Linked DNA regions of Mus musculus: regions 2, 3, 4, 5 and 6 are each reported to be linked to region 1. Evidence: microRNA targets listed by miRTarBase, many of them from high-throughput screens and not tested one by one. Region 1 holds a microRNA gene; each other region holds the end of a gene's coding sequence.

Evidence for each region. The annotated mature microRNA mmu-miR-17-5p reads CAAAGUGCUUACAGUGCAGGUAG and lies in region 1 at 2,996-3,018, shown strand. An mRNA with a match to its seed (bases 2 to 7 or 8) in the 3' UTR can be bound and repressed. Matches are read on the target gene's strand: a 7mer-m8 pairs with bases 2 to 8, a 7mer-A1 pairs with bases 2 to 7 and ends in A, and an 8mer does both.
Region 2: miRTarBase lists Entr1 as a target of mmu-miR-17-5p. The part of its 3' UTR that is shown has no 7-base or 8-base seed match.
Region 3: miRTarBase lists Phlpp1 as a target of mmu-miR-17-5p. The part of its 3' UTR that is shown has no 7-base or 8-base seed match.
Region 4: the mRNA of Capn2 is a reported target of mmu-miR-17-5p. The part of its 3' UTR that is shown has no 7-base or 8-base seed match.
Region 5: the mRNA of Smim20 is a reported target of mmu-miR-17-5p. The part of its 3' UTR that is shown has no 7-base or 8-base seed match.
Region 6: miRTarBase lists Kdelr2 as a target of mmu-miR-17-5p. Seed matches in the 3' UTR shown: 7mer-m8 at 3,750-3,756.

Annotation. Positions count from the first base shown.
Region 1 is chr14:115,040,689-115,045,761 of GRCm38, forward strand. Mir17 (microRNA 17) reads left to right here and starts at 2,983; the gene lies at 2,983-3,066. It overlaps Mir18 (microRNA 18), which reads left to right and starts at 3,163; the gene lies at 3,163-3,258. Mir19a (microRNA 19a) reads left to right here and starts at 3,312; the gene lies at 3,312-3,393. It overlaps Mir20a (microRNA 20a), which reads left to right and starts at 3,469; the gene lies at 3,469-3,575. It also overlaps Mir19b-1, Mir17hg and Mir92-1.
Region 2 is chr2:26,379,122-26,384,194 of GRCm38, forward strand. It overlaps Entr1 (endosome associated trafficking regulator 1), which reads right to left. Exons shown (of 10, transcript NM_026563.3): 10 at 3,679-4,573. The coding sequence ends at 4,477. It overlaps Snapc4 (small nuclear RNA activating complex, polypeptide 4), which reads right to left and starts at 1,532. Exons shown (of 23, transcript NM_172339.4): 1 at 1,428-1,532.
Region 3 is chr1:106,393,046-106,398,118 of GRCm38, forward strand. Phlpp1 (PH domain and leucine rich repeat protein phosphatase 1) reads left to right here. Exons shown (of 17, transcript NM_133821.3): 17 at 1-1,200. The coding sequence ends at 295. Among named protein-coding and RNA genes, the nearest start is that of Gm41928, 130 kb to the right of the region's middle.
Region 4 is chr1:182,463,507-182,468,579 of GRCm38, forward strand. It overlaps Capn2 (calpain 2), which reads right to left. Exons shown (of 21, transcript NM_009794.4): 21 at 3,747-4,729. The coding sequence ends at 4,706. Among named protein-coding and RNA genes, the nearest start is that of Capn2, 52 kb to the right of the region's middle.
Region 5 is chr5:53,277,421-53,282,493 of GRCm38, forward strand. It overlaps Smim20 (small integral membrane protein 20), which reads left to right. Exons shown (of 3, transcript NM_001145433.1): 3 at 477-1,120. The coding sequence ends at 514. Among named protein-coding and RNA genes, the nearest start is that of Gm40303, 13 kb to the left of the region's middle.
Region 6 is chr5:143,420,439-143,425,511 of GRCm38, reverse strand. It overlaps Kdelr2 (KDEL (Lys-Asp-Glu-Leu) endoplasmic reticulum protein retention receptor 2), which reads right to left. Exons shown (of 5, transcript NM_025841.4): 5 at 3,608-4,711. The coding sequence ends at 4,677. Among named protein-coding and RNA genes, the nearest start is that of Kdelr2, 19 kb to the right of the region's middle.

The sequences.
Region 1 (5,073 bases):
CCGGGGGCGTGGCGCGAGGTGTCCCGGCCCGGAGCCCTGCGCCGAGGGCAGCGGGCGGCAGTGGGCGGACCCCGGGGGACGCGCGGCCCGGGGAAGGCGGCGCGGCGCCACCAGCGGCTCCCCCGGCTCCCGCTCGCCTGGCCGCCAAGAACGAGCCGCCGTGGGCGGGGCCTGCGGTGATTGGCGGGCGGGCGGGGAGGTCGGAAGTACTTTGTTTTTTATGCTAATGAGGGAGTGGGGCTTGTCCGTATTTACGTTGAGGCGGGAGCCGCCGCCCTTCATTCACCCACATGGTCCTTCGAGGTGCCGCCGCCGCCGCCCCGGCCCGCGCCTTCGCGCCACTTCGCGCCCTGCGGCGAGGCCGAGGGGTGGGGACGGTCCCCCACGCCGCCCGTGCCTCTCCACGGAGCCCCGAGCTCGGACCGGGCCGGGCGGGCCACGCCGCACCCCCGGCCTGGGGCCTCGGGCCGGAGTGGCGCGGAGGCTGGCGAAGATGGTGGCGGCTGCTGCGGTGAGTGCGCCCGCCCCGCCGCCGGCTCAGGGAAACCTGTTGTGCGCTAAGCGGAGCGGCGGCGGCGGCGGGACGGGCGGGAGGGCGGGGGCCGCGGGCCGGGTGGGTCTCGGGCCGTTGGGCGCCGGCGTGGGGCGGCCGTCCTGGCGCGCACGCGGGCCGGAGGGGGCCCGAGGGGGCGGCGGCCCGGGCCCCGGAGAGGCCCGCCCGGCGCACACAATGGCCCTCGGGAGGCTTCGCACGAGGCCGGCGGCCGTCCCGGGAGCGGCGGGAGCCGGGCGGGGCGCGCGGCCGCCGTGCGGGGAAAGTTTCTCCCGGGGGCGAGAGTTAAAGCGCCTCCAGAACAAAGCGGCGGCGGCACATGGGGCAGGCCGCGGGCCGGGAGGGGGCGCGCCCACGAGGAACCTGCGCGCGGGCGGCGTGGGCGGGCGGCACTCGGCGTCCCCGAAACTTTGTGCGCGCCGGGCCGGGCTCCGGGACGCGGGAGCTGCGGGGCGACGGGGCCGGGGCGCCACCCCGCGCTCCGCGTGGGCTTTGTGTGCGGCCGCGTGGGCAGCTCCCCTCGCGGGCGAGGCGACCCCTGCGGTCCGCCCGGGCGGCCCGGGACGCCCCGGCCCGCCCTCGGGGCGGCGCGGAGCCCCGGACGGGCGCTGGCTGCGAGCGCGGCGCGGGAGGGCCGGGCGGGTTCGGCAGGAGCGGCGGCCCCGCCGCCATGTTCCTGCGGGGCGGGCTGCGCGCGCCGAGGGCGGGGGGGGGGGGGACATGGCGGCGACTGCGCGCCGCCGCCGATTGTTCCCGGCTTAGGCCTCGGGCCGCGTGCGGCGAGCGCCCTGTCCGCCCCCCTCCCTCCCCCGGAGCCTGGCCGGGGGGCGCGCGGGACACAAAGGACGGCCGGCGTGTCCGGAGCCTCGCCACGCTCGGGCCTCCGCGCCGCCGCTCGCCGCGCAGCCGCCCAGAAACGGGCGGGGGTTGGGGGGGGGGGGGAGTCTCCGCGTCCGGCGCAGCGCGGCCCGGCTCTGACCTGCCGCCCCCTGGCGGCCGCGCGGGGAACCCACAAGGGCCGCCTGCCCCCTTGTGCGACATGTGCTGCCGGCCCGGGCTCCATGAGCGTGGCGGGTACTTGGCAGGATCCCGTGTTCCCGTCCGGTTTTCTCTTGATAAGCTGGCGCGGAGGGGAGAAAACTGGAGAGCGCAGCAGGGCTCGTGGTTCTTAGGTGACCAGAGGGAAGAAAATGAGCAACGTGCCACGAGGATCACAGCAGTTGGGGAAACAACTCTTTATCCCGGCGTGCAGCCACGAGGTCCTGATTGGGGGAGGGGTGGTGAAGACTAGTCCTGGTTGCCCTTTTTCTCTAGCTTGAGCTGGACAGTAGAGTTCAGGCTTGCTGCTACTCATCTTGCAGTATTTCAGGGGCACATTAATTCGTGCACGGATGTGAATCTTGGTGGGTTTTCAACTTTATTTTGTTACAGCGTTTTCCACCCAATACATTGTTGCCCTCAGGACCTTGTGGTCCTGGCTCTCTCTTTTTTTTTTTTTTTTTTTTTTTTTTTGGCAAATGGATAGAATTGCCCCTTAGGAAGATTAAGAGAAGAGCAACTTGGAATGGGGCTCGGAAAGTGGTAGTAATTTTGAGCAAATGTGCTTACCCTTTCTCTGTCTTCACCCCACCCCCAACCCTAGTCATACACGTGGACCTAGCAGCACCCGAAGCATTGCCCAAGGATACTTGCTGAGAAGGAAGTTTGCCTGAGTGGGTGAGTATATTCTAGTTTTGTAGCTAAAACTTCTTTTGAGACCTTTGGTTTTCACTTTTGTCTTTGAGCTTGTACAACATTCTTGGTCTTTTAAGGTATGAAATAAATACAGTTTGAACTCTTGTCATAAATGAGTGAGCCACATTTTAACGTAGTAAATCTACAGTGGCTTTTGGACACTAACCAAATAGTTGTAGACCCTTCAAGTTGGAGTCATAGAGTATTTCTAATTTGGGGTGATACTAAGACTTTTTTATGTTTTATGACTAATAAACTTGAAAATGACTAAACAATAATCATTAATCTTGTCGAGTATCTGACAATGTGGAGGACAGAAGAAAGGGATTGCTGCCTGGTCAATGTGAGGCTTTCCTCTAAAGGTAGTACCAAGTCAGACTGCCTTCCTGATAACAGGTCTCATTTTGTAGGACCCTTATTGTGTGTTTTTTGGGGAAGCCTACTGTAAAAGCCAACATTTTAATGGGATTGTATCTTATATTTCTTTAAGGAGTTTTTTTTTTTTTTTTAAGGCTTACATGTGTCCAATTTGGAACTTCTGGCTATTGGCTCCTCCCCTCCCCCCCTTGGGTATAAGCTGTAATTGATGTTTGTGACAGAATTTAGAGCTTTGGCTTTTTCCTTTTTGTCTAATTATTTATTTCAAATTTAGCAGGAATAAAGTGAACCTCACCTTGGGACTGAAGCTGTGACCAGTCAGAATAATGTCAAAGTGCTTACAGTGCAGGTAGTGATGTGTGCATCTACTGCAGTGAGGGCACTTGTAGCATTATGCTGACAGCTGCCTCGGTGGGAGCCACAGTGGGCGCTGCCTCGGGCGGCACTGGCTGCGTCCAGTCGTCGGTCAGTCGGTCGCGGGGAGGGCCTGCTGGTGCTGCGTGCTTTTTGTTCTAAGGTGCATCTAGTGCAGATAGTGAAGTAGACTAGCATCTACTGCCCTAAGTGCTCCTTCTGGCATAAGAAGTTATGTCCTCATCCAATCCAAGTCAAGCAAGCATGTAGGGGTCTCTCCATAGTTGTGTTTGCAGCCCTCTGTTAGTTTTGCATAGTTGCACTACAAGAAGAATGTAGTTGTGCAAATCTATGCAAAACTGATGGTGGCCTGCTATTTACTTCAAGTGTTGTTTTTTTTTAAACTAATTTTGTATTTTTATTGTGTCGATGTAGAGCCTGCGTGGTGTGTGTGATGTGACAGCTTCTGTAGCACTAAAGTGCTTATAGTGCAGGTAGTGTGTAGCCATCTACTGCATTACGAGCACTTAAAGTACTGCCAGCTGTAGAACTCCAGCCTCGCCTGGCCATCGCCCAGCCAACTGTCCTGTTATTGAGCACTGGTCTATGGTTAGTTTTGCAGGTTTGCATCCAGCTGTATAATATTCTGCTGTGCAAATCCATGCAAAACTGACTGTGGTGGTGAAAAGTCTGTAGAGAAGTAAGGGAAAATCAAACCCCTTTCTACACAGGTTGGGATTTGTCGCAATGCTGTGTTTCTCTGTATGGTATTGCACTTGTCCCGGCCTGTTGAGTTTGGTGGGGATTGTGACCAGAAGATGTGAAAATGACAATATTGCTGAAGATGCCGATTTCCACTGTAAAAATGTTCACGAGCTGATGGAGTGTATGAACACATTCTGTAAACTGTGATTTCTATTGCTTTCGTTGGTGTGTAAAACGGGATTTTTTTAATTGAAATTTGTGTTTTTAAATTGTGGTTTGTTTTTACTGAATCATTTCATTTTCGTGTTTGCTCGCTGGATTTAGTAAGAAGTTGTGTGTGGGGGCTTAGGTGAAGTTAAACTGCCTTTTGAACCTGGTATGACTTCAGGTTTATTTTACTCTAAAACCCATTAACATGAGTTAAGAAAAATGTTACTTTCTTTGGATCTCTGTTTATTAAAGTGTGACAATTCAGATGGAGTGTTTTCTGATAAGATTATTCCTAATCCGTGAGTTCTTAACAGTTAACAGGTGGTGGCCACTCTGTTAATGTGCACACCCTGTAAGAAAGAACTATCCTTGGACTGTTCTTACCATGTGACCCCCTCAAGGGAAAGATGGCAAACTGATGGTCAGTAGAGTGACAGGTACACATGACACTCGAGTGCTGGGTCTGGAGAAGCTGCAGTTAGTATTTAGGATAACAGTATATATAATATATAGTTCTACATTTGGGCAGCACAGTTGGTTTCAGGCTATGAATAAAAATCATTGGAGTGAAACCTAAAGAAAAGTAAAATTAATAAGGAAGAGCTGCTAAAATCAGGTTTAAGCTGACACTATCTACAGAGCTAAAGTTTTCCATAATATGTTGCTTTTTTTAAAAGAAATGCAAGAAGCTGACTGATGGATCCCTGAGCTGCCAGGTAAGGATTCCACAGGCCTGGGTTTGATTGTGAGTGACCAGAATTGTACAATTATTACTAAAACAGAAACATAGTCACTTCTGACTCCATTCTTAACATTTTTGGATTAAAACTTGTTTCAGATGACTAATGAAAACTTCCTTTAAAACGTGATAAAGCTCTAATGTCAGCACGATCCACATGATCCATGTGCCTCCTATAAAGGGAGGGGTCTGTCACCAGTGTTACGGATTGAATGCTACGTTTATCTTCCAACATAGGAAGCCTGCCAGGTACTTTCTTCAATATACTAAATTAGAAGTTTAAAATTAATAAGGTCTTAATTAGGACCTTTGGATGCTGAGCTTGTGGTAGTAATTGTGTTCAGAATGTTTTGAACTTAAATTGAGATTTAATTTTAGTAAGGAATGTGTGTCTTAGAGG
Region 2 (5,073 bases), not on the chromosome of region 1:
TTTCTCTGGTACACTGTAAGCAAAGTCTGAGGGCAAAGGAAATTTGGAAGAGAAGTGTGAAAGATGATTCTAGAAAACACAAGCTCAGGTGGGTGAGATGGCACACCATACAAAGGCACTTGCTACCAGGCCTAAGGACCTGAATTCAGGACCAGTAATCAATGGTGAAGAGACCCTACTCCAGCTTTCCCTCAGACCTCCCCCACTATGGCACATCTACCTACACACAAGGAAATAAACAAGTATAATAACTGTAAAAAGCTGGGTGTAGAAGTCGGGTATAGTGACACACGTCTTTAATCCCAGGAATCAGGAGGCAGAGGCAGGGGGATCTCTGAGTTTGAGGCCAGCTTGGTCTACAGAGTGAGTTCCAGGTCAGCCAGAGCTCTAAAAGAAACTGTCTTCAAAAACAAAATAAAGAGCCGGGCGTGGTGGCAAAGGCCTTTAATCCCAGCACTTGGGAGGCAGAGGCAGGCGGATTTCTGAGTTCGAGGCCCGCCTGGTCTGCAAAGTGAGTTCCAGGACAACCAGGGCTATACAGAGAAACCCTGTCTCGGAAAATCCACCCCCCCCCCCCCCGCCCAAAAAAAAAAAAAAAAAAAAAAACCCAAAAAACCAAAAACCAAAATAAAGAAACAAAGAGCTGAGTGTGATGGCACATAATTTAAATCCCAGCACTTGGGGGGCATAACTAAGTGGATCTCTGCATTTCAAACCATTAGTGAGATACTGTTTCAAACAAAATTATCAAACACATTTTCACACCCAGAGCCAGAAATGAAGAAAAACATCCTGTTTGATTTCTTCCTACTAAGTTGTTGACAGCAGTCTTAACTGACTACAACAAAACAAAACAAAATCCCCTTCAACGACATTCCAATTACTTATACAGGGAACGTTTGTCAACCAACTTGGCTAGAAACAGCGGGATCTACAGATGTAGCAATAATCATTGCCACTGGATGCTTGGCCACCAACGAAAGAGTAACGTGTTTTGAGGCAGCAGCAATTCCATCTCCTCCCACAGCATCGCCCACATAAAGGAAGAAAAAGTCACGTTTTCAAGTCCTGAGCTGGGAGCCACGGTCCGCCTTTAATGACATCAGAGACACTTTGCTGCCTGTCCCTTCTAAGGCCTAACCGGGCAAGGCAGTTGGGGTCCAATGCACCCTTAGTGGCTGGATTCGATAAGCCAGGGGTGGCCGGTGGTGCTGCAGCGCATGCAACCGGTTAGAGCAGCGGTTCGGAGCACAGCACGGAGCAAATCCGGTCCTGCATCTCACCAGCTAGGGGACCTCGGCTGGGCTCCGGACGCGGGCTCTCCACTCCAGCAATGTCGCGGCCACGCCACGCCTCGGTTTCCCCGTGCTGGCTGCCCTGCCCCTCCTGGACACAACGCCTGCTACCTGCCGCCCGCCAATCCTCACCTTCTAGGCATCCCTTCCAAACTTCACAGCTGGCATCATCGCCCGGGCGACCACACGCAGATCATGCTTCTAGCAGTCGCGGAAGTCAGTAGGCTTGCACCGGAAGTCCCACCCAGGCTGCGGCGCAGGGCATGCTAGGAGGTGTGCTGGGGGGCGGGGCCCTAGCGAGGCGTTCATCTTTCTCCAGGTTCCCTGGGCTGTGTACTTAGCTCCTGGTGTTCTGGGTTTGGATGAATGATCAGTGTGTCGTTAAGTACTTTCCCGTGTGTGTCGTCCTCGGAGCCCACAACCTGGGACCGCCAGAAATGGACATTCATTCACTAAGGATTATTCTGCCTGGCCAACACATCACAGAGCTGCTGGCTAAGTAGTGGGGGGGGGGGGGCGGGAGGGCGGGGAGGGGGGGGTCGGTCTCACTCTTATGAAACAAAATACCAATAATTATCCATTATTAATTTTTTGTTTGTTTGTTTTTTCGAGACAGGGTTTCTCTGTATAGCCCAGGCTGTCCTGGAACTCACTTTGTAGACCAGGCTGGCCTTGAACTCAGAGATCTGCCTGCCTCTGCCTCTCCAGTGCTGGGATTAAAGGCGTGAGCCACCATGCCCGGCCCATTATTAATTCTTTTTTTTTTTAATTAGGTATTTTCCTCATTTACATTTCCAATACTATCCAAAAAGTCCCCAATACACTCCCCCCCACTCCCCTACCCACCCACTCCCCCTTTTTGGCCCTGGCGTTCCCCTGTACTGGGGCATATAAAGTTTGCAAGTCCAATGGGCCTCTCTTTCCAGTGATGGCCGACTAGGCCATCTTTTGATACATATGCAGCTAGAGTCAAGAGCTCCGGGGTACTGGTTAGTTCATAATGTTGTTCCACCTATAGGGTTGCAGATCCCTTTAGCTCCTTGGGTACTTTCTCTCCATTATTAATTCTTAACAGCTTCCTTAATTCTACTCTCCCTAGGCAGCTGGGTCCTCCTAGTGCCTAATAATGCCTGTGAGTAGGAGAAGCATGGCAGTGGCTTGAGGCTCAAGGCTGGTGAAAACCAAGCCTGGCGACTGGCCAGTTTGTGGGACCTGGGAAGGGCCTTGGTCTTATGGAGAACTGACTACAAGCTAGAAGTCACCTGCAACACTACTGGAGTGGGTACAGAATCATGAAATCAAAGAGTAATAGTGCATCCCTTTAATCCAACATTCAGGAAGCAGAGGTAGGTGTAACTCTGTGAGTTCAAATCCAGCCTGATATACAACAAAGCAAGTTTCAGAACTATATAGACACTGTCTCAAAAAAGAAAATAAGAGTCATATCAAGTCTGGCCCAGAGTTGGGTTTGGCCAGAGGGAGTCTGGGGCATTAAAGGAAACCTGTAGGTTCCTGGTGTAGGAACTTGTGTGGGGCAAGCCTGGTAAGAACTATCAGGCAAATTTCCCTGGGGTACTGTTGTTTCTTGAGACAGTCTATGTAGAACAGACTGATTGAGAACTGGGATCGTCTTTGTTCCTGGTACTCTGAATAAAGGCATGTACCACCATGCTCTATGGTGCTTGTACAACTTTAGGAACACTTCATACGTAAATTGAGAGTAGTGTAGTTGTGCAGCTCTCATCCGGTTCACTTGCAGTGGTGGAGAAAGGCTGACGGTTCCTCTTGATGGCAGCTCTGACTCAAGCCTTGTGAGCAGAGGGAACACTAGCCTGGTCTTCCTTTGTGTCCCGCCACCTTGCACTGCGATCTGCTCTGGGGGTGGGGACAGCTTCTAAAAAGCTGTGAGTTAAAGGGCCCAGTGGTTTAGTTGCTAGGCGTCCATCCACCCAGCCTTAGTGTGAAGCTAGGATGTGGCTCATCCGGCATGTTGATGTAGTGGCTCTGTGATATGTTGGGATATGTATGTGATATGTTGTGATATGTATGTGATATGTTGTGATATGTTGATGTAGTGGCTCTTGTGAATGCCTGACTCCAAGGGTCAAGAACTTGAGGGTCCGATAACCCAGCAATGGCAGGAATATCCTTTGTTTGTTGATTTTTCGAGTTTCTCTGTGTAGCCCTGGCTGTCCTGAAACTCACTCTGTAGACCAGACTGGCCTCGAACTCAGAAATCCGCCTGCCTCTGCCTCCCGAGTGCTGGGATTAAAGGCGTGCGCCACCACTACCCTGCAGGAATATCTTCAGATGCAGACCTTGAAGTTAAAAGAGCAGGGTAGCTCTCAAGCATGAATCCCTGAGTAAATGACAAGACAGTCTAAATGATCTTTAAGATTTATTTAGATCAGAAAGCTGTTGATCTCAACAGGAGGGGAAAAGGGAAAATAAATTAAAAAAAAAAAACAAAAAAACAACCTATAGGAAAGTGGCCCCCAAACCTTGACCCCTCAGCACAGCACAGGGAGCTGCTTATGTCTTGCCTGTCCTTCAAAAACCAGCCAGCCAGCCCAAAGAGCTGGTGCTGACCCCCCAGGTGGGTGTGTGCTTTAATTCCAGTCTGAATTGCACTATACAAAAGGCACACAAACACATTAACGTGCATCAAAATCGACAGCCCCAAATGGCTTTCCAAAGCTGACAGCACACAGTAGAGGGTGTATGAAGCTTTGCACTGTGCACAGTGTGTGACCTTGGTCCTATGGTCCTGGTGGGAGGACGGCAGCACGTACCAAGCGGTGCTGCCTCAGTGAGGCACGCGTCTCTGTACAGGCTGCTCACTTACACACTGGCTCACTTCGTGTTCCACTTGACAACACTGAGGCTGAGCCCGACCTCGTCCTAGAGAGGGTGGTGAAAGAAGCTTGTTACAAAACTGTCGTTTCAGCTTTAGTGGTTTTATAAAAGTGTCTTCCAGTAAATCAGTGAGTCTATCGAACAGTGGGACTTCATGTAAACTGTTAGGTTCAACTGGTGGAAAGGAGCCCCGTACTGCAGATGGCCAGTCACATGATTAGGCCGTGAAATGCTTTGATGAGGACTGCATAGACAGGAACACATTCGGAAGATGTGTGGTGCCTTCGGTGCAGAGGTGACGGGACCCGGTGGCAGGTAGAGCGTCTCAAGAGTCCACCTCATCTTTAACTTCACTAATTCTGTCGATAGACTTGAGGATTTCAGCAACAAGGTTCAGTGTGTCTGCCCCAGACACCAGCTGCCTAAAGCAGAGAGAGACCAGGGCCATTATTTCAGCCGTGCAAAGGCAGCCAGAGACAGATCTAAAGGAGAGAGCCCAGAGCTATCAACCAGGTTTGCCACACTGGATTCTGTGTGGCTGCCCTCTGGCCCATGTGCCTGTGCACAGGCCAGCCACCCTATAGTGAAGCTTAGGGAAGGCAACTAAAGATGGTAGGTTGCAAGCCAGATAAGTTCATCAGAAACTGATTCTGAATTTTGCTCTTTGCTTAGGCCAAGCTGATGATGCAGTACTCTCAGTGATGTGGGCAGTAGTCCCACCGCAAGTCCCATATCTAGTCATGAGAGCTCTACCAGGGGGACTACTTTGCTTTTGTGTTTAATAGGTCAGATGAATTAACTACATCTTGACAAGTTTAACAAGCTGCAGCTTTGGTGAGTGTTTAATCACCATTATCATCACCAACTGACTAGCTCACAGTATGCTCACTGTGGCAGACTTCTCCCCTTCAGTTAGAGCTGC
Region 3 (5,073 bases), not on the chromosome of region 1:
TAATGTGATAGAGGTTGCTGCAGATGCGCCTCTCCGGAAGCCAGGAGGCTATTTTGCAGCCCCTGCTCAGCCAGATCCAGATGATCAGTTTATCATCCCCCCAGAGCTGGAAGAGGAAGTCAAAGAAATCATGAAACATCACCAGGAGCAGCAGCAGCAGCAGCAGCAGCAGCAGCTGCCACCACCACCCCAGCCGCCACAGCCACAGCCACAGCCACAGCCACAGCCACAGCCACAGCCACAGCGGCACTTCCAAATGGATCACCTGCCAGACTGTTACGATACACCGCTATGACCCAGCCTGAGTACTGTTTTAAACAATAAACTAACCAGAGAGACTGAGAGTCTCCCAGGCTCACATTAAACCAGGGGTGTTAACTTCATGCCCTCTCCCAGACACTGCCCCACCTGTCTCTGCAGCTCATCTGTAGGTTCTCTTTGTATTGGTTACTTTTAACAATTAACCACTTTTCTTCTAGTGATACTTTACCAATATGATTTAAATTTGTTAACTTCTTTCCCTAACATATCAACTGTGTAAAGACAAAGAACAAAAGGTTTAATATATTACAGAGAAACAGTTAATGATAATGTAATATTTTTAAAAATGGCTTTTGTTGTTTTGTTTGTTTGGAAGGCAGGGCAAGTTGCCATTGCTAAATGATTTAATAATATTGTAATTGTGTATTTCTTTGTGGGGAAAGCTTTTTTTTGTCTTGAAAATGGTAGACATTTGTAGAATATGGCGACTAACTCCTAGGAGTTGCTTTACTCTGTCAGGTGACTTAAGTCACTGGGAGTCACTAATTTTCTCTGAGAGAACAGTTGATTGAGAAATTTCTATTGTAAATATCTCAGTGTTACATAGTGAAGCTTAAAGTGTTTGTAGTCTTGCATAAGGACACAGCCTAAATAACTGACCCCTTACTCGCTCTGAAGAGCCTCCCTGCCCCACCCCTACGTAGCTCATCTTCAGTGTGGGCCATGTGCAGCGTGTTTCTGTGCAGATAATGTGGCCCTGTTCTCGGGAACCCAGAACCTTTTACAGACATTTTTTAATTGTGTTCCTTCCTGCTGCCACAATCAGCATGACTGTATAGAGTCCCTTATACCATCTACACATCCAGAGTTATATGGAAGCAGAATGCCCAAATGGACATGTCGTAATTTTTGTTATAATAAATATGAAATTTACAAGTACTGAATCTATCTGCTTTTGTCTCAGCATCCAGGTGTGTCTCACAGCCAAACCAGTTTAGGATTAGAAGGAATAGATGGGGGTGAGATTAACCAACATTATGGTTTGGGGTTTGTTTCCTTAATAGTCAAGTTCAGCTGCAGTGAATGAGGTAGTAGAATCGACCTTCTGGTCAACCGCACACACAGCTGTTGTTACCCTTTTCTTTTTATGATTATGCAAGGTAGTCCTCACTGGAAGAGAGGACTGGATGGGGACTGCATAGAGGAGAGCCCTGCAGAGAACCTGCAGACCTCCTACAGAACCAAGATGGGTTTCAGCTCTTCCAGGAGATCACGTGAACAGGTCCATGCACCTTCCATTGTAACTGTCAATTAAGAGCTGTATGTGGAAGGCAGGTGGCATCCCTGTTGTCTCCCTTCAGGTGTGCCCTCAGTAGTACTTGGCCAGCCCAGACTAATGGCCGAGCCCACAGAAGAAGAGGTAGCTCACTCCAGCACAGCACTGGACCCAGTAGCTGAAGAAACTGTGTTTCCCAAGTGTGGAAGAGGCCTTGTGCCTTCAACTGGAAGTCGAGTCATCCCAGGGGATGATCCTGCCTGACTCTCTAGCCCTTCCCTCCCTTACTGTGCATCATACCATGTGGGGCATAGGTCACATAGAAACCACACAACTTCCTAGTGCTCCCCAGTGCCTTATTTCCTGTCCAGCTTCCAAGTCATCAGTGCTTAAATCCCAACTCTGGGTAGAGTTCATCTTTGTGGAGGAGGCCTAGAGCACACAGTGTGACTCTTTCAGAGGGGTCAGAACCTGTGGAGGCTGGTGAACAGAGTCAGTACTTGTAGACTCCATGACAGCATCTGAGGCGGCTACACAGCAGAACCAGCAGACGTGGGAGAGAGCAGCAGGTTAGATGCTGTGTTTGTGCATCCACAGTCCTCTGGCATTTACATCTCTGTCCGTTCTGTCATTGAGACATTGTGCACATCACACGCGTGGAACTGTGGAGAGAGAAGTTCTTTTGGGGGACTTGGCAGTACATAGTACTGTAGAGGAGAAACTTTTATGTTGCATCCATGTGAAGGGACTAAAGAGGCACAGACATACTGGGAAGTCTCCATGCTCTTATGTAGGAGCCTCCGCAGTTATTTCCTAAGGTGAATTTATTCACTTCTGTTTACCAAGATACACTCTAATAGTGTATGTGAAGGTGCTTATAAATCTGAAGTGGATTTTGAGCTTTAAGTATTTTATTAATACTTGAAGACCCCTAAAGCCATGATGTCTGCACAGGAGAAAGGGTTGCCCTGAGGCTGATGACCTTGCTGGGGCCAGGACACCAGTTCCTGTCAGATCAGCCACCTACTAGCAGATACAGGCAGCCTCCAGGCTTCCTGCCCTTACCCATCAGGCCAATCTCTGGCCAGGGCCAGACTAGTGTGGCTGCTTTCTTTTGATTGCTTTTGTTATAGCACCACCTACTGGTGAGTAGTTTGGGGGCCAGGCCACCGACTCCATTTGGACTGAAGAAACTGTTTAGCAGTTTTCTTCATGGAATAGAAAGTAATCCTCACCACTAATTAAGTGTGGCAGAGATGCTGCATTAAATCCTAGCGTCTGTTGTACCTTGTACCAGTCTCTGCTTTACAATGTGGTATCATTGGTGACTACTTGGTTCCTATAATAGGAAATTTAAATAACATGCGACCAGAATTATAATCGATCCAGCATTTGTCTACCCTTGCCTTCCCTGGGGTTAGAAAACAAGGGAAAACAGAGAGCATTAATGGTATGCATGCAGTCTTACAGAGTAGATATGTGATGTCACTACTGGCTGTAACTAAGGGAGGGGGGAAAAAAGAAAAAAAAGCCCCATTGGCGTAATGTTGACTCTCATCAAAGGGTCTTGAGTCCTTCCCTGGTGCTAAGCAGAATAATCGCTGAAAAGTGGGGTTATATTATCTGTAACTGCCTCCCGAGTGACAGATCGGAAACTCACTAACGCCTTCCATGTAAGTTGTCACTATTCCAGCACAGAACTAGGCTGCTCAGAAATCCGGGAGCACGGCACAAATGCTTCAAGTGGCGAGTGGAAGAGAAGACTCACTTCTCTTGTGGGGGAGCAGACTCACTGTCGCTGGGGGAGCTCCCAATATCTGTCATTAAATACTACTAGTTTCTCTCTTTCAGTTCATCTCCGAAATTCCCATGTTGTGCAAATGACTCTAGGCCAACTGCTTTCGTCATTGTCATTGATCTGGCCTGTGCTGATATGGATCCCCATGTCTGATATATATGTGTTTGAAAATGTAAATGGCTCTAAAGCATCTGTGATAGCTTTGATTTGTTTTTTCTTATCCTAACCCCTACCTGCTATATCAATTGGATCAAAGTTCACACTAAACCTTGCTCAGGTAAAGGAAGGTAAGAGCCCTTCCAGGACCTCCATCTGATTTGCATGTTCACTCATCCTTAATCAACAATCCATGGCCATCTCAAAACCAGCACAGGACCTGAGGGGCCTGGCTGGGGTATGATCTTGAGACGCTTTGAGGGTCTAAGCCAGCGCCGTGTTGATACTAGATATACATAAATGTCTGAAAGCAGAATGCTCTCCCCTCAAAATGCCCCTCTTCCCTTCTTGAAGACATTGAACACATCAGGAAGAAATGGGCAAATGGCCCTTAAGCCCTGTTTTTTACTGTTCTGTTTCCTGGCCTCAATGTACATATAAATAATATGTATTGCATTTGTTGGCCTTTGGTTCATTTTGCTCAAAGAACACAAACAGAATGCTTCAAGAAAGGTCTCCCTCCTGCTTAAGCTGGAGCCTCACTTATTCTGATTCTCTAAGGACAGAAAGATCTTCTATCATCATGCTGAAATCTTTCACTTTCTGCTCTTCTGCCTTGTTCCAGTGAACTTGGACTTTCCTCTAACGAGTAGTCCTGTCTGTTTAAAGGGCATCAAAATGGCAATTGGGACTTTTTTCAGTGTTCCATGTCCAGTTCTTGAATGCACCAATACTTACTTCCAAGTCTTCTTAAGACTGCCTCCCAAATAATGCCTGGGTATGCTGGAACCAGCTCGGGATTAAGAGTTGTATTTAAGCTAGGACTAAGCCAAGCAATATTTTTATTTGGCTCCTGATCTACCATACTTTCGATGACTACCTATAGAATGCCTCAGCAGGCTATAAGTATCTCATTGTAAGATGATCCATAACTCCCAGGAGCCGCATCGTGTACTGGACCTGCCACCTATCACAGGTAAATACATACATTCCTTTTCTATGATAATGTCACCTGCATGTCATTCTCACCTTTGAGCCCTCCAGTTATCAGTTGAAATTCTGTGGGAGTCTCTGTGACCACCAGGACTGGCAGAGTACCCATCTGCTAGAAGCAAGAAGGAATCCGGTTCAGTATGACTTAGATGGTGCTGGCCCCAACCTCTAGAGTGTGACCCTGAGCAGTTGATTGCCAGCATATTCAAGCACAGAATAATTTGGAAAAAAAAAAAACAATTTCTGGTGTAATACAGTCTCATGAGCACAAGGAAACTCAACTCAAATCCATGCCACATCTTCCAAGAAGATGGGTTCTAGAGATAGGCTACATGTATTATCTTAAAGGCCTAGCAAAGGATCTGATATGGTCTCAGTCGTACAGATAGTGTAGATGTCATTTCTGCTGTTAGCTACCTCTGGTCCTGGTTGTGAAAACTTAAGAGCACCCCTGGCAATACAAATAATGCAGAGGCCATTTACTACTAAGCACCTCCAGACCTGCACATGATAGATAATACAGATCACCAGGCTATTGAGCAATCAATCACCTTCATTCCCAGCCTTCTGGGTAGAAAACAGGTTATAC
Region 4 (5,073 bases), not on the chromosome of region 1:
AAATGAAGAAAAACTCTGGACTGTCAGGAGACAGGGCCTCAGGCTTGTAGCCATGTGGACCTGAGTACACCCTACCAGGTGAGCTGATCTGTCCGGAGATGACTCCTCATGTGTGTGGTGTGCCCTAATGAAAATTTTGTTGGACCCCAGCTGTATACTGTGAGATAATGGATGTTTTTTGTTTTGTTTTTTTCGAGACAGGGTTTCTCTGTATAGCCCTGGCTGTCCTGGAACTCACTTTGTAGACCAGGCTGGCCTCGAACTTAGAAATCCACCTGCCTCTGCCTCCCAAGTGCTGGGATTAAAGGCGTGCGCCACCACTGCCTGGCATGGATATGTTTTTAAGCCATTGGATTTGTATGAGCTGTTGCAGTAGGAGACAAATACGACGTGAGTTCTAGAACTAGACTGTTGCAGTCATTACTTGTCCGACCTTGCCGAGACAGTTGACCTCTGGGAGACTTGTTCTCTTAACACTGGCAGTGAGACTGTGGAGACTGCCGAGGAGTATCGCAAGTCTATAGAAGCAGGAGATGTGGGAAGTAGGGAAGGAAGCCAAGCCGGCTGTTGGCTGGTTGCAAATCCCTTACCCTTACCATTCCTTTTTATTCTCTTTGTAGGTTTTTACCTGTTTTATTATTAAAGTACCAAAGCTTCTTGGGGCTAATATTTGAAAGTGTAGACCAAGGTTACTGACTCAAAGTAACACAGCTTTCAAGGAAATAAGAAACCGTTTGTCTTCAGTCAATTTGAATGACCAAGGGCCAGGATATATGGAGCCAGGTTACTCCAGGTTCCTGTGTTCCCACAAGGAAGCAGTTCCACAAAGGTTATAGTAGAGCAAAGGAAGTCACAAATCAAGGCAACCTAAGACATTGGTGGGTACATCAGAGAGGCAGTTATGCAAGATGGGGAGTCTCCTGTAGGTCTCAGATGCTATGTGATGACATTCTTAGACTCTAGGTTGATAGACTCTAAGACAGTTTTTATCTATTACCAGATGCTAGTCTGACACAGAGGTGGCTTTCAAGGGCCGAAAATTAGCCCAAAATTCAGTGATTAAGCCCTGGACCTGAAGCATTCTAACCAGCCTTAGATGCAGCTTCTGTCTAGGACTAATTCTTTTTTTTTTTTTTCTTTTTCTTTTTTTAAGGTTCCTAAGTAGCAGCTTTTTATTCACACCCCTAAGTTGTGTATAGCAACATTAATCCTCTGCAGTACAATTCTACAACTCCTTGTCCACCCACACTAGAGATGTATTTGGGATTCACAGATGTTCAAACTAATCACATAGACCTCATATATGCAAACCATCTTAAACAATGCCTATGAGACTTTAACAGGAATTACACAATGAAGGCATCGATTCTGGCCAGATTTTACATAACAATCGACTCAACAGAAATAATCTCTGGTACTCAGTGTTTTCTAAGACCTCAGAATTGTGGGTTGTCAATCTGTCTTCAAATCATGATGAAAATAAGCCACAAGTGGTTGTTACAACAGAACTCAGTCTAATACTTTCTCTCCTTTTAATACTACTTGAGTACATATAATTTATTTCATTTGTAATTTCACTCCAAATTTTACATACAAAGCAGGAAGTCTTGTGTAGAGTAGGCAGTGGACACTGGAGAGACACTGTTGGGTATGTTTTGTAGTCTCGTTTTTAGATTTTTTTTTTTTTTGCATAGCTGAGAGCCTGCTGGAAACAATTCTGTATTCTGTTGCTTGCTTGCTATTGTGTGTTAGGATTCAATGGCTATATCAAACTCATAATTTATCCAACAGTTTAACTGTTCTTTAGTTCTGTGTGTGTGTGCTAGCCAGTCTAACAGCAGGATTTATAGGTGCTTTTTGTTTTTACAAAAGGGAGAAGGAAGCCTTGTGCAGTGGGCCATGCTAAGGAGGAGAGTGTAAACTTTAGGTGAAGTCTTGGCTGGAGGTGGTGTCATGTGACTGGAGTCACAGTTGACAAAAGCAAGGGACAGGAGGAAACTAGGGGAATGTGGACTCAGGTCAGAGGAAGAACTGAGTGGAATGAAAGGCAGCAGAGCCTGGCAGGGGTGGGCGGTGGGGGCCTGGAGGCTGGAGGTGTACCTAGGAGCACCCATGACAGATAACTTGGACCGTAGCCACATGAGAAGACTGATAGGCTGTTAATTAGCTAGACGGTACCAGGTGGAGAAGCGATTTGGGGAACAAAGAAGTGAATCTAGCTAGGACAGTTTAGAATCCCTGGTGCCGGGGAAGGACGGGTCAGGATGGGGCAGGAGTGTGATTGTGATGCTGTTGAGGAGAAGCTATGAGAAGAAAAACTGAAGAGATGAGTGTGTCCGGTCCACAGAAGAGCTAAGGCAGGTGTGGGCTAGCAATTCAGGGCAGAGGTTTACAGGAGTGGTGGTGAGATGCAGGCCAGAACAGTTCCCATGGGATCAAAAAGGATGGGAGTCTATCTCCTCCCTGTAAAATGAGCACCGACCGGTTTTTGGTTTTAGGCTTACTTATTTTTATTTGGTGTGTATTGTTGTTTTGCCTGCTTATATGCTTGTGCACCACATGCATGCAGTGCCCATGGAGGTCAGAAGAGGGCATCGGATCTACTGGAACTGGAGTCACAGCAGGTTGTGAGCTGCCATGAGATGCAGGGAACTGAACCCTGTCCTCATTGCAACAAAGCAAAGTTGGCATCAGGGAGAGCGACAGATGGGCTGGCTACATGCTGCCAGCTAGTGATGTCAAGAGTAGCCTCTGCCACTTGGGAGGGGCCAGCTCACACCTCACCCAAGACCACCCTCCTCTCAGCTTCTTACAGCAGGACCCCTGCCCTCACTCCCACCCAGGTCTAGAACTGCTGCCCTTATTGGAATAACCACCCTCTCCCTGCTAGGTCTCCTAACCTCAGACTTCAAACATTCTATCACCTTCCTCCATCCAATCCCATCTTCAGTCCTTCACCAACACTACTCTGGTCACCCATACTCCCAAGACAACCCATTCCCCCCTATTCTGAAACCCCTCAGTGTTGAACAGAGAAAGCTCAATCCAGTGACCCGAGTTAGTTCCATACACACTCTCCCAACTTCTTAACCTTCCCAGCCCACCTTTAGCTGTGTTGGAGAAACCCATCTACTACTTGAAATGGTGCTATAATTCCCCAACTGTGGAGGTGGAGGCAGGAGGATCAGGAGTTCAAGGCCAATGTTAGTTACATAGGTCCAGATCTGTCTGGACTATATGCAATCCTGTTATATATCCTCTACCCCTAGGAGGTGAGGATCTGCCCACAAAACTGTCCATGAAATAGTGGGTAGCACTTTCCCATCATGCTGCCTTCTTTCTTCCCTTCCCATTTTGTGATTCTTCAAGGATCACCAGCGACAGGTCTAGCCCTAGACTAGTGATTTACTATGTGGGTTTCTCAGCTCCCACAATGGCCCCCCATCCCCATGGGAGCAGGCCTAAGCTCTGGAGCCAGCAATGATATAGGGGGTTTCCCCAAAACCGTCCTAAACCAGACCAAGCAGGTGGAATTAGGATTGTCCTTTCTGCCAGAGTGACCAGAACTTCTGAACTAGAGTTTTAAAAATGTTGTACAGTTCCATAGTTTAATTATAGGCAAGATGCCTTCTCAGTGTCTGAACCTTCAGAGCAGCAGACCTCACGTAAGTAGAACCCAGCTGTTACCTGTGTGCTCCTCAGCCCTCCCATGGGGGCCATGCTCTATGAAGAAAAACAAGGCATGGTGCGACTGTGTTGTAACTCTTTATTAACAGTACGTTTGGAAGTAGATAAGGCAATATGTCTGTATGGTTGCTAGCATTTTCCCAGGATGAAGAAGCCAGCTTGGTTGTTTTAAGAAGATCTTCTGAGCCCTGTCCTCCCCAGCTGTAGGCACAGTCCCTGGGGTTTATCACGATCTTCTTGCAGACGGCACACCTGGCTCAGTTGGTCAGAGTGATCTCATTACTTACTACTTGTCAGACCTAAGTGTCTAAGGCCAAATATGGTCAAGGACTTGAGTTTAAGAATGCTAAAGGTATATAAAAACCATCTTCTGTTAGAACCAAATGATGGAAGCAAGCATGCCCTTTTTTTAAATTGGCATTTATTTTCTGAGATCGGGTCTTGCTAGGCAGCCCAGGTTGGCCTTGTGTCAGACACTCCTGGCTCCTGGATTCTTTAGATGCCTCCATCAGACTGGGTTCTTTAGATGCCTCCATCAGACTACTTCGTCATTGTATTTCTCAGTTCGCTCAGGGCAAGCGGCAGTCTCTGGGCTGCTGTGGCAGGTGCCACCACTGCATTTAAAAGTTAAAATTTCTTCAAATATTCCCATCAAGGCCTTGTAGCCTCTGAGATTGGTTTACTATTTGCCCAGTTATTTAAAGCTCTCTGCATTCCTTCCTGATTTAATATTGCTATGGCCAGGACAATGTGTAGAAGTAAAAAGGATATACTATTTACAGGTGTAACGCTTCCTCTGACCTTACCAAGGGTTATGCAATTCATTTGCATTTGGTTTAATAATATGCAAATATGTTACTCTGATATGTGAAAAGTTCATCTATCCCAGACGGTTATATTCTTCAGTTATAATCATCCGATGAAGTCAATGTTCCCGTAAGTTCAAGGTCCAGATACAAAGTGTCTAAGTGTAGTCATTGGCTGTTTTCTTCCACTAGACCTCTCCAGGCATGTAACTTCAGAGTACTGAAAAACTCAGCCACTGTGAAAAAAAGAAGAAGAAACAAAACACTCATTCAGGGAGCGTTGTTAAAATGAAAGACCTTATAGGTGGCTTTGAGTTATTCTGGAGATGGCTGAACCTACCTTCTGGAGTCTCGTCTTAGAAGTTTGATAATTTGTGTGATTTGAACTGGTGGTTGTTGTAGTATTGAATACATGAAGGGTGACATTCAAATAACATGTGAACCAGTTTCACACACTTCTGCCTCAATACACCACATCAGAGGTTTGGAGGTGGGGGTGGTGACGCATACCTTGAGTTATAGGGAGGCAGAGGCAGGCAGATTACTGTGAATTTGAGGCTAGCCTGGTTTACATAGAGAA
Region 5 (5,073 bases), not on the chromosome of region 1:
GGAATCAAGTATGCAACAGATCATCTGCTTTGCAGACTCCCATACTGAGCACCCCTGTAAATACCTCCCTCACTGGCAGACCGTGTGTGAGGGTGAGCACTAAGGTTCAGTTTCCTAGAGAAGTTCTCAAAGCTCCCTTCAGGGACGTGTGGGATGTTCCTTTAAAATGATACAAGTTGGCTGAGTACGAGAGATTTTCTAGCTTATTAACCAAACTCCTGCAGTCTGGTGGTCCTAGGCTAGATCCATTTCTTCCTAGCAGGGAAGAGTTCCTAAGCCTTTAAAAGGATACCTCATAGCTGCCATGGCTGCCTCGTTGCAGGGTTCCAGTGGCTGCACTCACCCATTTCAATGTCTCAGCCACATGGAAATTGCATGGCTCAATTTCCACATCATCTTGTTTGTTTGGGATCAAGGGGGTGTGTTCAGTCATTTAGCAATGAATCCTGATAGGGTATTTGTGTTTCTTTCCATAGGGTTGAAAGTGTGGTCTGATCCATTTGGCAGGAAATGAGGCTGTCAGCAAGTCTGATGAGGAAAGTGGACGTCTTTATCCTGTGCACTCCGCAGTGGGGACAATAGATGCCTCACTGTGGCAGCATGGCATGGAGAGGGAACTCTCATGCTGCTAGCCAGACCCCTTGTGATAGAGACTGTGTGCAAAGACAGTGCTTCCCTTAACTCCCTGGAGAACCTGAACAGATGCCACCATTAGGAAGTGCCTTGCGGCTCCATTGACTTTGCAGGAGCAGAGCCAGCCTGCAAGGCTGTTTGTGGAAGATCTGCTGCTCCTGCAGTCTTTATCACTTCCAAGCTGTGATGTGAACACAAGCAACCTGTGGGCTCAAGGTCCGTGGCTGCTCTGACACCTTCTGAATAAGCGATTTCAGTGCAAATGGCCTTGCCAAGCTGCCTCGCAGGGCTCTTGGAGGATGTTTCAGTTGATAAAACTGTTTGAAGACAGGATCCTTGGCACTGTTTAAGAATATACACTGCTCAGCTTAACCATCTCATTGAAAGTCACTGTGTGTGGAAGTGAATAGGGAGCGAGTCACACTAGACTATACCACACACAGTAGACTCCTGCGTGAGGCTGCAGGTATTAAAATGGTTTCTCTTAGTTTGCTGGTGTGTACTGTTTTTATATTTTGTGTGTGTATATGTTTGTTTTATTTGGATGGGTGGTGTTTGTTGGCTTTGGATTTTGTTTTTTGAGACAGGGTCTGTCAGACCAGTCAAGCCTTGAACTCCCAGAGATCCACCTGTCACTGCCCAGTAGAATTTTTTTGTAAATTGAATTCTGATGTGAAGAAGTAGAAGTAGTGCTATTGTCTAGATTCTATTTGAGTAGATATCCGTGTAGTAATAGCTATTTGTAGACAAGGTGAGCGGCACACTTCTTGTGGCAGCTGTGGCATTAGGTTCTCCAGAGAAACAGAACTGATGAGATGAATATGATTTACATCAGTGACTTACAGGCTGTGGTTCACCTAATCCAACCATGCCTGTCTTATCAATGGAAAGTCCAAGAATCCAATAGTTGTTCAGTCCAAAAGGCTGGACTTTAGTATCTACCAGAATCCCGAAAAAGTCGTCTGTAATCCCCGTGAGAGCAACGGCAAGCAGGCAGAGAGCACACACTTCCTTGCATGTTTTTCGTATAGGCCTCCACCAAAAGGTGTGGCCCAGACAAAAGGTGGATCTTACCACCTCAAAAGATCCCGATTAAAGGTGGGACTCCCAGTTCACGTGGTTCAGTTAAGAAAAATCCCTCACAGGTGTACCCAAGCACTTGGGTTTTAGTTATTTCCGGATAAAATCAAGTTGACAACCAAGAATAGCCAACACAGCTGTTACTGGAGTGCCCGTCGCCCACCGGGTTCCCCGCCAGGAGTCGCGGCAGTGATGCTAAGACCCAGTTTCCTCTTGCTGGGCTTACTTTCTCCCTCCCTTGCTTCCTTGTCTTTGGTTCCTTCTGTGTCTGTCTTCTGCCTTCCCCTCCTCCCTACGACTCCCCTTTTCCTTTGATCCCTCTCACTTCTCACTTCTCACTTCTGGTACCCTGCCTACTTTTGCCTCAGGAGGCTACACGACTTGGTACTGTTCTCAGCAGAAAGCCTTGTGTTTCTGCAGCCTGTGTTTTCACGAGGTGCTTGGTGGCAGAATTTCATAATTGTCAACTTGGCATTCTCTTAACACACTGCTGGCTCAATTATGTAATGACTGGCAAACGGGAATGAGATTGATAGTTCTAAAACCAAAGTCATCATTTTGGGGAGACATTGCCTAATATAGAATTGACGTTCAGTTAACAACCCAATAGAGGGAGCTGACTAATTAGTTGTGCATTTGCCTACTGTTTTCCTTGGAGGGGGCACCAAGAAGTTATGTAATTTAAAGTCAAATCGTGCAAATGCTCCATGGAGCCTGATGACTGAGGCATGTACATCTTCTGGGCTGAAGGACTGTGGCAGCAGACTCTCCTGAGTCAGATCTTTGTCCTGGGACCTACCTCCCCTTGTCTTCAGTCTACCTTTTTGCAATGATACAAGGGCTTCCTATCCTCAGTCACCTTGACGCTTGTAGCAGGAGTGTTCTGTGTCTCAGACAAGCCTGCAGAGGGCTGCCCATGCCTGCCCCATGAGTGGCGAGAGGTGCCCTAGTGAGGATAGACAGAGGGCCTCACAATCCAGGAGTCCTAGTGTGCCCCCCTCTCCCAAGGACAGTGATTGAAGCACTTTCCTTATAAGAGGCAGCTTAGGTGCATTTAGGAAACAGGTCTGCTATTGACTAGATACATCGGGTTCTAATTTGGTGATTTCCTGGGGAGGGTAATCATTTCCCAAGTGCTTTGAACGACAACACTTCTACTGTCTGTCACCTTTCTGGGATAGAGACTTCCCCTTTAGGGGAAAATCAGACCATTACATCTTAAACCTTTTGATCTCTGGATAGCTTTACACTTTTTAAAACACACTGTCTCAAGGCTGTAAGCAGGAGAGCAGCGGTGGGGTTACCCAAGATCCCGCTTTGCCCTCTGCATGCACGCACAAACATGACACATTTTTTTAAAGCTCCACATTGTGTTCATGCAAATTATACCTATAGAAAAATGCACTGTATTACTACATTCTTAAAAAAACAAGAATTATATTACTTTAAAAGTGTCAATTATGATTATGTAGATTAATAGAATGTTGTATGAGAAAATTTTATTTTTTAAAACATAAAGTAGTTTCTGGGAAAACAGTTTAGTGGGTAAGATCACTTTATGTAAGCACGAAGACCTGAGTTCAAATCCCCAGCAACCACATAAAAAGCTGACATGGCCACAAGCACCTGAAACCCCAGCACTGAGGGGAAGAGACAGAAAAACCACCGAGGATCGCTGACTGCCGGTCAAGCTCCAGGTTCAACGAGAGACCCTGTCTCAGACATTCGGTGGCAAGGAGAGAGCAGGGCAGCTGGCCCCCGAATGGCTTCCATCCATACTGACATGTACCCACATATCTTTCGTATACATGCACCACATATAAGTACTTGTGAATATCTGTCCCAACAGAAGACCTTTGCATTCTCACGTTTCTCTGCCTTGGGTCTCTTTTATTATTATCTCTGCATTCGCACGAGGGCATGGAAGCAGAAATGTTTTCAAGGGAGGTTTTGAGTTCTTGCTCCTCAGTCAAACCTTTCGAGGACTGTGTAGTGGAATCTCATCTGTTGCCCTGGCTGGTTAGTTGTCCTGGACCTGTTTTGCTGTGTTGGAAGAGGTTGTAACAGGAGGGGAGGAACTGAAAGCATACTTGCTGTTACTGGGATAAAGAAAGCTCCATCCAGCCATTCAAATGCCCAACGGTACCTCCTGTGGGTACATTTGTAAGCCCACAGCCAGAAATAGCAATACCGCTGAGCAGTTGCAAATTTCAGCCTGGGAACACTGAAGTGTGTAACAGGACCATTCCCTTTGGCTGATAAGAAGCTCAGACACTGGGGCTCTGCTCTTCAAGAACTGCCTATGGATACTGGGGAGAGGGCTCAGGTTAAGGGAACCAATAGTTTGATTCCCAGCACCACACACTCACGACCCTCTAAATCCAGTCCAGGGTATCTCATGCCCTCTGAGAGCACCAGTCATGAATGTGGTGAACACCCATGTGATATGTGCTCACACAGAAATAAAACTTTAAAAGAAGTGCCTGTGAATGTGCGGCATGTCCATGGTCACTATGGTGACCTCATCCCCTTCTCACGCCATTTTCTTCTCACTTTAGTTTTGGTCTTAGACTGTATGTTAGAGCCTTCATTCAAGATGAGGCATGGCATACATGATATGTATTCAACTGAAAACTCATTTATAGTTAATAGAGATGAAGTAAAATCATACAGATTAATATATTAAAAATACCTTTTTAAAAAACCTTATACTTTTTTACAGTGCTAAAAAACTAGTCTTGAGAAGTACCTAGAATTCTGACTTGTGGCAAGGGATGGAGCTATGGTGTGGACGGAGCTCTGGACGACAATGGTGGCCTTGTTTTAGATACAGCAGTGTTTGGGGATCATTACATTATGGGCTTTACGAGTCTGGTGCACCACTGCATTCTCCCACCTGTCAGCTCGATGCACAGTGGGCACTCCATCGATACTGAGAGATGGTTACCTGGAAGAATGGAGTGGTAGTAAGGACATGGGGTGCCCACCTTTAAATGCCAGGCAGATTTTTTTTTTTCATTTGATTTAGTAGGAGGCATGAAGAAACTTAAGCAGGAAGTTTCCTGAAGACTTCAAAACAAAGCCAGGCTGCTCTCTCTAGAGCAGCCCTAATCATAGATCGTGGTTAGCAGTGTTGTTGGGCTGTTCTTTCCTACCCAGAATGATCAACAGACATGAGAGAAAGATACAAAAGCATTTAGAGTCACTTGACGAAGACGCTGGCTGGCATCTTGCGTCATGGATCTGTTTTATTTCTACTGCAGCTAGTTTCATTACATTTTGCAAAGGTCCCCAGGAGAACGTGAGTTAGAAATAAGACAAGGAGCTAGGGCCGTCGTTCACTTGTCAGTCAGAGTGCTT
Region 6 (5,073 bases), not on the chromosome of region 1:
TTGTGAGCTGCCATGTGGGTGCTGGGAATTGAAGCTGAAGAGAATCCAGTGTTCTTAACCACTGAGCCATCTCATCTCTCCAGCACTCTCTCCTACCTTATTTTTTGAGACACGGTCTCTATGTTGGCTCTTCCTGGTTGTCAACTTGACTACATCTGGAATGAACTACAACCCAGAAATGGAGGGCACACTTTTGATCCAGATCTTGAGCCACAGTGGCCATGAAAAGCTTAGGCCCAGGCAAGGTAGTACAAACTTTTAATCCTAGGAGACAGAGGCAAGCAGATCTCTTCAGTTCAAGGCCATCCTGGGAAAAAGCAAGTTCCAGATGCAGGCGTGGTGGCACACACCTTTAATCTGGGCCATACCTTCTGCTGGAGGCCTACATAAGAACATTGGAAGAAGGAAGGCCTTCCTCTTCTCTGCCTGCTTGCACTTACTTGCCAGCACATCTGTTGGAACCTGCTTCTTCAGGATGGCAGCTTATACAGAAGAGCAGCTGGAACACCTACCCTCGTGGGACTGAGCAACTACTAGGTTCTTGGACTTCCCATTCACCGCTGCCCACTGTTAGATTAGGTGGGATGCAGACTTTAAGCCATTTCAATAAATTCACTTAATATATAGAGACATTTCATAAGTTCTGTGACTCTAAAGAACCCCACCTAGTAGTCTCTCTCACTTAGAGCTCATTTTTTTTTTTCAGCTGGTCTGGCTTGCTAGCACACTTCTATATGAATCCCCTCAATGCTAGAGTTACATCCAACTTTTAGCTGGGAGCTAAGGAGTCAAATTCAGGCTCTTAACCAGTGTGGTGGCACACGTCTTTAATCCTAGCACTCGGGAAGCAGAGGCAGTTGGCTCTCTGAATTTGAGGCCATCCTGGTCTACAGAGTGAGTTCTGGGACAGTCAGGGCCACACAGAGAAACCCTGTCTTAAAAAAAAACAAAAAACAAAAACAAAAACAAAAAAAACCAAGCCAACAAAAACAAAATCAGGTTCTTGTTCTCCTCTCCCTAGCCCCACATTTTAGAGATAGATCTCAGTAGGTTTCCAAGGCTACTTTGAATTTATGATCCTCCTGCTTCAGCCTCTGGAGTGACTAGGATGACAGTCCTGTACCACATACCCGGATTCACCAGGCTTTTAAATAGCAGGGATAAGAAATAGGAATTATATAAACCAGGACTTTGATCCCAGGACTCTGGAGGCAGAGACAGCCAGATTTCTGTGAATTCTAGGTCTACATGTGGAGTTCCAGGCCATCTGCACAGACACAAAGATCCTGTTTCAAAACAAAAGAAAAAGGGGGGAGGGGATACAGGAGAAACCAAATCCCACACTAACCTTTATAGGGTCAGTGAAGGATGATTGACAGCTCAGGCTACATGGGAATCTCACAACTGACCACTAGGGGGCGGAAAAACCAACCCCAACCCCACGTGGGGTTCCGTATTTACCCATTAGTCATCAAACCTGAGGTCCCGAAAAGTCAGTTTCTACACATCTATTCCTTTTCAAAACTTTATTTGTGGGTGGAGATATGGCTTAGCAATTGAGAGTGCTACCGATCTTGAAGAGGACCTGAGTTCAATTCCCAACACCCACTCACAACCCCCTGGAACTCCAGCTCCAAAAGGCTTTGATGCGTCTGGCCTCTGCAGAGACCCACATACCTAGACACATGACTTTAAGTATCTTATTTTCATTCTTACTGTCGGGGTGTGTTTACATGTGAGCATACATCACAACGTGTACATGGAGTCAGAGGGCAATCTGTGGGGTTGGTTTTCTCCTTCTACCCAGGTATTGAACGCCAGCCACCAGGCTTAAGCAGCAAGGAACTCTACCCACTGAGCAACCTCACACACCCTATAGATGTTTCTAACAAGGATTCTGAAACATCTAGCACAACTAGCCAGTGTCCTCTGGGTACCAATCTCCAGGAGGCTTTCAGGGCAGCTAGCTCTCCCTGGAGAGTGAAGGGTGAAGGAAGTCGTGCAGATCACTTCACCAAGAGGGGGTCTTTTAAATATTTTTGTGCGGTGGAGGGGCATGCACACACCATGGCACATGTGTAGAAACCAGAGGAAAACGCTTCCCTGTGTTGTAGTCTCCAGAGATTGAACTCGGGGAATCAGGCTTGGCTGCAAGCACCTTAATCCATTAAGCCCCATCTTGCTGGCCCAAGGGCTTAGTTAAACTTTTTTTTTTTTCTTCTCCCTCCGGCCCTGCTCTTTCCCAGTGTACAAGGCTTACGGTTTATTTATTTTAATATATGAGTATAGTGTTGCTGTCTTCAGAAACACCAGAAGAGGGCATCAGATCCCATTACAGATGGTTGTGAGCCACCATGTGGTTGCTGAGGTTTGAACTCAGGACCTCTGGAAGAGCAGTCAGTGTTCTTAACTGCTGAGCCATCTCTCCATCCCATTAAACTTCTTAAACGTTGCACTTGGGAGTTTCTCTACAGAACTGAAATTCATAGTAATCCCATGTTTTGAGATGCAAGACTCCACACGAGCCTGAGTCCAAAATGCATCATTTTACATAAAAAACAGAAGAAACCCCCAAACTTTCATATCCGCTGGGCATAGTGGCATGTCGTTCATCCTAAAGGACTTCAAGCGCAGAGGCAGGCATGTCTCTGAGTTCAAAGTCAGACTGGTCTACATATCGAGAGCCCATCTCAACAAGACCTCCATAAACCTCAATGAGAAAACGTTACTTGACAACCTATATTCAGGCAGCAAACTTGACTGTGACACCATGCTTCAAAAGTATGCCACACACGGCCATGCCTCATGAGGCCAGTCTCTTCAGGATGTCATGCTAGGTGGTAGGCAACATCACAGCCAATTTTATCGTACTTGGGTATTGTGAGAAGAGAAGGTGCTGGAAATGCTGGAAACCTGAGGCTTCGGTTCTGCAAAGTATCCCTAACCCCAGCCAGTGCACCCCCCCCCCGCCTCTCACTCAGCCCCCACACAAAATTATTTGAGGCAAGCAGGTCCAAGAAAGTAAAGACTAAGACGCTGGGGGAAGCACACTCATGTGTAAGACAAAGTCACAAGGCACAGGAGCAAGGTCAAGCAGGGGCAGGAAGAGGCAAGCCTACAGTTGTACTGCCAACTTTGCTGTAGAGACCCCATGGTAAATAAAGACAACCCTCCTAGCGCCCCTCCTCCACAAGCCACTTTAATTGCAGGAAGCAAAACCACTCCATTTCTGCAGTCAGCACACTACAAGTATTCAACACTTCTAATATTAACGGTGCATCGTATAAAGTCACAATATGATGAAAAACCCTAGTGTTCCCATCAACAGGGCGTTATCCATATTACTTTTGTGTATGTAAGGGTGATACATGCATGTGTATGTCCTCAGAGCCCAGAAAAGGGTGCTAGAGCCCCTGGAACTGGAGTTATAGGTGACTGTAAGCCACCACATGGGTGCTGGGAATTGAACTCAAAGGACAACAAGTGCCTAGCCATCAAGCCATCTCTCCGTCTCCTTAGGTCAGTCTTAAATGTATGCAGCCCTATAGAGCTTTTGCTGCATCTAACACTGAATAGTTGAAGCCTGATTCATAGAAAAGACCATACATTCTGTTTAATAAAATGTTTATTTAGGATGTTAACACAATATAGGTCATGCAAGAGCCCAGTTTAAAAAAAATACTAAAAAGAATGTAAGGAATGATAACTGGTGTTGCCAATTAAAAAGATTGTCAATCATTTTATCACCAAAAGTGCTATGAGAAAAACATTTGAGTCTAACATGGTTGTAGTGATCCTTCGGACTGACAGTGACAGGTGGCTATTTGTGTTCCATTCCTCAGAGGAGCTGAGTCCTCTATCCAAAACAGCCATCACCCCCAGCCCTCTCCATAGTCAGAGGGCAGGTGGCTCAGACCCTCTGGGTGTGGCAGCTCTCAGCACCCTCGGATAACCTCAAGCTGCCACACCTCAGCGGGGGAAGGGTGAGCGTTTGGTGAGCATCAGCTGAGTTTCTGCTGGGAACCTTCAAGTTTTGGTAATGAAACCTTAGGACTTTCTAGTCATCCTCCCGAACCTGACATGTAGTGTGACATCTGAGGAAGGGTTTCCAGGACAACGAGGACTCTTTTGGACAGAAACACCAATGGAACACAATGTCTCAGATTTCAAACAAACACAACTTATCTTTTTGGCAAAAAAAAAAAAAAAAAAAAAAAAGAAAGAAAGAAAAGAAAGAAAATAAATAGCATGGAAATTTGACAGATGTTTGGATAATCTACCAAGTGTCAAGGAGTATAATTTCATTGTAGACACAAAGAATTGACCACCTCAACAAATTCTCAAAAAATAAAAAAGGCTTGTACTTATTGTGCACAAAATCGTCACTTTTGGAAACTGTCCCAATTCATCTACATACTGAATTTATTAACACAGCATTAAGTTTCTTTGTGTAAAAAAATCTTTGTACATAGTAATAAAAAAGATAAGGCAGGATGCAGTAGACAGAAGCCTCCTGGTCTCTTCCTCTGCATCCTCGAAGAGCCACCAGTGAGTGGCTGCCGCAGAAGCCTCTGCTTCTGCCCACTGAGCATCCCGAGCCTTCGCCTTCGCCTTCGCCATGGTGAGACCCTGTCCGAGCACCCCGAAGGGCAGAGGCTGCTGCTGGTCTTTGGCACTTAGGCTGGCAGGCTGAGCTTCTTCCCTTTGAGTACTGCGATTGGACAGATAGAACAAACAAGAGGTTACCACGTGGGCGAGCTCAGTCTCCTTTCCCCGGTCCTTGCTTCATACACATGCCCAAATACAAGGAGCTAACAGAAACGCACACAGCCAGACTAGTCGGGAGTGGCGCACACCTTTAGTCCCGGCACTCAGGAGGCAGAGCAGCAACAGTACGAGACTTAGACTAGCCTGTGCTCATAGTGAGACTCTGTCTCAAGAAAAAACAAAGCAAAACAGAAAACAAACCTAAGATGCTATGTCCTGGCACGGAGCAGGCCCACCACCAGGCACCTGGCTGTGTGGCTAAGGGTCCCAGGCTAGGTCTGAGCTCAGCTCTGCAGGAGTCTGCCT